Linked DNA regions of Callithrix jacchus. The protein of the gene in region 1 interacts with the protein of each later gene in a pairwise test. Links are inferred from orthologs where the notes say so. Each region holds a gene or a part of one and is shown on either strand. Other genes may lie near its edges.

Region 1 (2,935 bases):
CGCACCCAGCATCCTTGAAGTACAAATCTGTTAAGCTTTTTATGCAATCATTACTTTTCAACAATCACACAAAATGCCATCACTATGGGCTTTCGGTCACTAAAATTCCATTTATGTTCCTTTTTGATAAGAACATAAGAGACTCAAGACTCAATTCAAAGGACTAGAAAACCTAATTAAATTAGCAGAAAATCTGAAGAACCAAGCACCTTAAGAACATGTTAGGTCTCATGGGGACTTAGTTTAGATCAGCCATGGGTGAAGCAGGAGCAAGAGCAACAGTTGATGTTGTTTCTCAAACATGAGTCTTCTGCAGTAGCCAGTAACTGGGAAACTCAGCTGAAAGCTCCCTCCTCAAGGCTGAAAATTTGTATTTCTTATCAGATACAAACATGAAAAGAGGAGAGGACCCTTGAGATGATCAGAATAAAAGTATTCCTTCCTAAGTAGCCAGTTACTTGAAACTGTGACTGAAGGGGGAAAATTCCAGTATGTGGATTCTAATACCTTTGAGAACAGAAACTTCATTTTTTCTATTCATTAGAGGCAACTCAAACTTGGAAATAACATGACACTTTTGAGATTCATATTTTATTTACAAGTAAATGAAGAATGTCCCTGTAAACTCTAATTCGGGACACAAAGAACAATATAAAGTAGTTGCTGGTGCCAGTGACATGTGAAGGAGTCTATGCCACTGTTTCTTGAAACAATGATTTTGCTATTTAAAAAAAAAAACCCACCTACATGATTTATTCATGTTTCATGTGTAAAAGAATGAAAAATAAGAGTGATTTTTCAAAACTCTACAGTCTCTGATCAACTGTGTGAGGTGGCCAGGATGTCACTTTCACTCAGTGACAGCCCCTACTCTTCAAGAGCAACAGCCTCTGGGCAAGACTTAGTACTCCTCCAGAGTATCTGCTCGAGGAATGGAAAGACCTCGGTCCTTCAGGGCCTGCACTTTCAGCTTCTCTGCCTCCAACTTGGTCTGCTGTTCCACCCTTTGCTCTTCTAGAATTTCTTCAATGGATACTTGCTGGAGGGGTGTGTCACTCTCCTTTTCCAAGTCCTACAAAAGAGACAGGTTTGAAAACTTCACCTGAAGACCAAGAATAGAAAACATTACCGATCTAAAGGCAGATGGATTCCTGTATCAGGCTCGAATTATTTTTCATAACTGTGACAGGACTGAAATATCCTTCTCCTAGGGACAGGTAAGTTTTTCAAAGAAGTGCCTGACAACACTACGATAAGATACATACTTACGATGAATGTGGTTACAGTGATCAGTATTTCTATAACAAAGCTTTATATGATCCAAAATCCCATATTAGGATTCATTTTCTATTAGTCAAGGATTAATCTCCTTAAAAAAAAAATTAGGGCTGCTTATAGACAGCTATCTCCCCGGCTGTAGAGAATCCAAGAGGGAGGTTATTGAGGCAGTGTGGCCTTAGAAAAATTTTTTAAAAAATTATTTTAAGGATGGGTGGGGTGGCTCATGCTTGTAATTCCAGCACTTTGGGAGACTGAGGTGGAAGGATCACTTGGGCCTAGGAGTTCGAGACCAGCCTGGGCAATACAGTGAGACCCCAACTCCATACACACACACAAAAAAGCAGATGTGGTGGTGTGCACCTACAGTTCCAGCTATTCAAGAGGCTGAGGTGGAAGGACTGCCTGAGCCTGGGAAGTTGGAGGTCAAGGCTGCAGTGAGCCATGAACATGTCACTGCACTCCAGCCTGGGCAACAGAGCAAGACTCTGTCTCAAAAATAAATAAATAAATAAAAAGGCAAAAATAAAAGGGATCCTCTTGCTTTCACCTCCCAAGTACTATAGGTATATGCCTGGAACTACAGGTATATGCCATCGCACCGGCTCTGTAGTCTCTAAACTATAACACAAGACTCTTTTTTTCCTTTATGGCAAGAAGTATTCTAGAGAAAACCTCAGCAGACCATTGAGGTTACTAAACCAATTTGGTCCCAATATTTTTCTCCACTATTAAAAAAATTGTTGCCTAATAAAAAATTCCTTTTCCTTATTTAAAAAGTACATGCTCATTGCAGATAATATAGAAAAGACAAATAGGAAAAATTAAAAAATCATCCATAATTCCAATACGGAGAATTAACATTTTTGGTTAATATCCCTACAATTTTTCTATGTATATACTGACTAAAAAAAACCCCAGCCAGGCGTGGTGGCTTACACTTGTAATCCCAACTACTCAGGAAGCTGAGGCAAGAGAATCACTTGAACCCAGGAGGCAGAGGTTGCAGTGTGCCAAGATCACACCACTGCACTCTAGCCTGGGCGACTGAGTAAGAATCTGTTTGAAGAGGAAAAAAAAAAAAAATTAGCTGGGCATGGTGATATGTACCTGTAATCCCAGCTACTCAGGAGGCTGAGGGGGGAGGATCACTTGAGGCCAGCAGTTTGAGGCTGCAGTGAGCCACGATCACACCACTGCAGTTAGCCTGGATAAGAGTGAGACTCTGTCTTAAAAACAACCCCCTCTCACCCAAAAACCCACAATGCAAATACTGACTGTAATTCATTTTCATTTACATGTGGCACAGTATGCTTAATATTTTTATTTTTGAATGCTTTATAAACATTTTTCATGTTATTTACTTTTAAAAATATGGAAGGCTTCATAAATTTGCATGTCATCCTTATGCAGGAGCCATGCTAATCTTCTCTGTGTTGTTCCAATTTTAGTATATGCTCTGCCAAAGCAAGCACAACATTTTTCATTTTATATATTTTTAATAGAGTCAGGGTTTCACCATGTTGACCGGGCTGGTCTCAAACACCTGACCTCAGGCAATCCACCCACCTCGGCCTCCCAAAGTGCTGGGATTACAGGCGTAAGCCACCACGCCTGGCAACATTTTTCATTTTTTTTAGAGACAGGATCTTGCTCT
Region 2 (4,394 bases), on another chromosome or scaffold:
ATTTGAACCTGGGAAGTGGACGTTGCAATGAGCAGAGATTGTTCCACTGCACTCCTCCAGCCTGGGTGACAGAGCAAGATTCCATCTCAAAAACAAAACAAATAACAGCATATGCAGAGTCTGCTGCAGGAAAGAAGGGGCTGAATTGGGCATCCAGCCCAATTCAAGAGGAAAGTGGAATTTCGATGTTGATAGATGTTGTTGCTAGGATCCAACAAGGAAGGCCAGACACTGACTTCATAGAACCATAAGGCAGGAGGCAACATTTCATACATATGCACACTTTCTGGTTTGTTATAGTTCCCAAAAGATTCGAAAAATGAAGGTGGGTGGAGGGAGGCAATGAAATATAGTACATTCCTGAATAAAGAGCATCACCTTGGCAAGTTGAAGTTAGAGAATCTCTTGGTACATATTTATGCAGTCTCAACTGTCCTCCAGGCTCTGAGATGGTAAATTACTAGTGACAATTATTCAGGTCTGAATTGAGAGTTTAGTTTATGGATAAACTGAACCCTTTGCTTTTTCTTCTTTCATCTGCCTTTTAGGCAATTCATTACTTGTTTGAATTTCCACCAGACGGTAGGAGTCAAGAGAATATTGGATATTAAAAACCGGTTACTGGGCCGGGCGCGGTGGCTCACGCCTGTAATCCCAACACTTTGGGAGGCCGAGGCGGGTGGATCACGAGGTCAAGAGATCGAGACCATCCTGGTCAACATGGTGAAACCCCGTCTCTACTAAAAATACAAAAAAATTAGCTGGGCATGGTGGCGCGTGCCTGTAATCCCAGCTACTCAGGAGGCTGAGGCAGAATTGCCTGAACCCAGGAGGCGGAGGTTGCAGTGAGCCGAGATCACGCCATTGCACTCCAGCCTGGGTAACAAGAGCGAAACTCCGTCTCAAAAGAAAAAAAAAAAAAACCGGTTACTGTTAAGGCAACTGACAAGAGGTACAGCACTTTTATTTTGTTGCGCTTTTTACCACAAATTACTGTGGTTTAATATCATGGGGAAATGGTCTCAGAATGGATCATCATTTTACCAATGGACCAATTTTAGAGGGTCCCCTTAAACAAGATGGCAACCCAAGGCGCGTTAACAAGGTGCTGGAAGCAGCAGCGATGTAACCTGTTGCTTGGACACCAGGCTGTAGTGTGAGGACTCACCACTAAGAGTTCAGAACCGATTTTCAACCAGTCACTCCCTTCTCAAAGATGGCCGACCTCACTTCCCTCGCGCAACATGGACGTTTCCAGTCACTTCCTGTGAATTTGAAGTTACTCTGATCCAAAACTACGTGCGAGACCAAAGCCAAGATGGCAGCTACATCCTTTCAGAATTAAAGGTTGGTGAAGCCATCTATTTCCCCCACCGTCTTCAGTGAAAATAGTCTTTCGCATCTGGCTGTTCTTTCTGGAGGCGTGGTTGCCAGCAGTCAAAATGGCTCCTTTCCGGAATAGATTTAATAGGAAGTGAAGCTATGACGGCGAGGCGTTGCCCAAGCCTATCTTTGGTAGGCGTTGTCAGAGTTAGTTCTTTATGCCCACACTAGACATGGCGCTAGCCAGCGTGTTGGAGAGACAGCTACCGGTGAACCAGCCCGGGTTTTTCGGACTCGGGGGTCGTGCAGATCTGTTGGATCTGGGTCCAGGAAGTCCCAGTGATGGGCTGACCCTGGCCATGCCAGGCTGGAGTGTCCCAGAGGAGCCAGGAATCGAAATGCTTCATGGAACAACCACCCTGGCCTTCAAGGTGCGGAGCCAGCCGCCCTGCCAGGCTGAGTACTGAACGTCCGCGACCTGCCTGGCCTCCCAGCCTGACTGGAGTTTGCGGTGGCCTTGGCCACCAACCCAGGCGGAGGCTCGGTCCTCTCTTTCGGACCGCAGTGGTTTTGCTGTTTCATTGCCCCAGGAGGCCCCTGTCCTCGCTCTGGTTGGAGAGGGTGGTGGCGGGGTTGGGGGTAAGTCGGGAAGGAAGCAGAGGCTTCTTGGGTTAATGTCCTAGGCGACCCCAGGTTGCTGCTGTTCAGAAACTTTTAGCTGGGAAGGGGGAAAGACCGCAACAACAATGAACCTTGGCCGAGGGAAGGCTATTGAAACCGTTTACCAAAGTTTTGGAAACTGGGCGGCCCCTCAAGGCAAGGGTATCTGAAACTGGCATGAAGGGGAAGCTTGGTGAGGGTAAGCATTGTACCAAGAACCAGACATTTGGGGCATCTTGCCCAACTCTGCAGTAACTAGATTGAACAAGTCATTCGATCTCATTGAACCAGTTTCCTCATCTATAAAATGATTTTTTTAAAGACAGGGTCCCGCCCTGTTCCCCAGGCTAGCGTGCAGTCGTGCCAGCGTCTCAGCCTCCAGAGCACACATCACCATGACAGGCTAATTTTTTTACTTTTTGTAGAGATGGGTTTCCCTGCGTTGCCCAACTGGTCTCCAGCACCTGGCCTCCCACCTTGGCCTCCAAAATGCTGGGATTACAGGAATGAACCACCGCACGCATCCTGTAAAATGAATTTAATATGGGTCATACCCATGTCAAAGGATTGAAGTGAAGCTCAAGTGACATTAATATGTGGAGAAGTATACTGTGAAGTATAGAAGGACAGAAAGATGTGCTGGGTTTCGATTGATGCAAAAAGAAGTATGTAGGGGTGTTTTTGTGGTCTTATGTGGCCTGTTTTGTGTTTTTCTCTCATCTTAACAGTTCCGCCATGGAGTCATAGTTGCGGCTGACTCCAGGGCTACAGCAGGTGCTTACATTGCCTCCCAGACGGTGAAGAAGGTGATAGAGATCAACCCATACCTGCTGGGCACCATGGCTGGGGGCGCAGCAGATTGCAGCTTCTGGGAACGGCTGTTGGCTCGGCAATGTCGAATCTATGAGCTTCGCAATAAGGAACGCATCTCTGTAGCAGCTGCCTCCAAGCTGCTTGCCAACATGGTGTATCAGTACAAAGGCATGGGGCTGTCCATGGGCACCATGATCTGTGGCTGGGATAAGAGAGGCCCTGGTGAGTTAAGCTGCAACCACGTGGTCCTTGGGCTGACACTACAGGGAGGAGGAGTTGGATGGGGAGATGAATTAAAGGGTTTGGTGTCAGTGCTGAGGATGTGTTGATTAGGTCTTTAGCCCTTCCTTCCTCTCTCTTTTTTTTTAAGACAGTCTCACTCTTGTCAGTCAGGCTGGAGTGCAGTGGCATGATCTCAGCTCACTCCAGCCTCCGCCCCCAGGTTTAAGTGATTCTCGTGCCTCAGCCTCTCAAGTAACTGGGATTACAGGTGGCCACCACCACACCCAGGTAGTTTTGTTTTTTTTTTTTTTTTGGGGGGGGGTTTTGAGACAGAGTTTCGCTCTTGTCGCCCAGGTTAGAGTGCAATGGTGTGATCTCGGCTTACTGCAACCTTCATCTCTCAGGTTCAAGAGATTTTCCTGCCTTAGCCTTCCAAGTACTTGGGATTACAGGCACACACCACCATGCCCAGCTAATTTTTGTATTATTTTTTTTAGATGGAGTTTCACTCTTGTTGCCCGGGCTGGAGTGCAATGGCGTGATCTCAGCTCACCACAACCTCCACCTCTTGGGTTCAATTGATTCTTCTGCCTCAGCCTCCCAAGTATCTGGGATTATAGGCATGTGCCACCAGGCCTAGCTACTTGTATATTTTTAGTAGAGACGGAGTTTCTCCATGTTAGTCAGGCTGGTCTCAAACTCCCAACCTCAGGTGATCTGCCCTCCTCAGCCTCCCAAAGTGCTGGGATTATAGGCGTGAGCCACTGCGCCTGGCAATTTTTGTATTTTTAGTAGAGACAGAGTTTCACCATCTTGGTCAGGCTGGTCTTGAACTCCTGACCTCAGGTGATCCATCCGCGTCGGCCTCTCAAAGTGCTGGGATTACAGGCATGAGCCATCACGCCTGACCTAGTTTTTTTATTTTTAGTAGAGACGGGGTTTCACCATGTTGGCCAAGCTAGCCTCAGCCTCCCAAAGTGCTGGGAAAACAGATGTGAGCCACTGCACCAAATCTGTTCCTTCTCTTTATTCAAGGAAGTCACTGTACTATAGGGAAAGGCATGGAGTTAGATCAGCTGTGTCACTGACTACCTGTGATAGTAGGCATGCATACACACATATTTTCACAGCCTCTGTTTTATCATCTGTTACCTTGGTTAAGTGAGGTAATAAATGTAAAGCTACTAGTATAGTATCTGACTCATATTTTTCCATCTGTTCTCTCTCCTATAGACTAAGACTAGAGGCTGGGTGTGGTGGCTCATGCTTGTAATCCCAGCACTTTGGGAGGCTGAGGAGGGCAGATCACCTGAGGTCAGGAGTTCAAGACCAGCCTGACCAACATGGTGAAACCCTGTCTCTACTAAAAATACAAA

The links. The genes of interacting proteins can lie anywhere in the genome.
Region 2: the proteins of LSM1 (region 1) and PSMB5 interact in binary tests that used the Homo sapiens proteins (3 or more experiments, as listed by UniProt). The link is inferred for Callithrix jacchus from reciprocal best matches to the Homo sapiens genes LSM1 and PSMB5.

What each region holds. Positions count from the first base shown.
Region 1 is NC_133514.1:38,988,019-38,990,953, forward strand, and holds the end of LSM1 (U6 snRNA-associated Sm-like protein LSm1), read right to left. Parts: intron 2,752-2,935; exon of another isoform or gene 2,647-2,751; intron 1,073-2,646; coding exon 902-1,072; 3' UTR 576-901; downstream 1-575. UniProt on the Homo sapiens protein: Plays a role in the degradation of histone mRNAs, the only eukaryotic mRNAs that are not polyadenylated. Probably also part of an LSm subunits-containing complex involved in the general process of mRNA degradation.
Region 2 is NC_133509.1:57,404,970-57,409,363, reverse strand, and holds the start of PSMB5 (proteasome subunit beta type-5), read left to right. Parts: upstream 1-1,533; 5' UTR 1,534-1,541; coding exon 1,542-1,754; intron 1,755-2,711; coding exon 2,712-3,018; intron 3,019-4,394. UniProt on the Homo sapiens protein: Component of the 20S core proteasome complex involved in the proteolytic degradation of most intracellular proteins. This complex plays numerous essential roles within the cell by associating with different regulatory particles.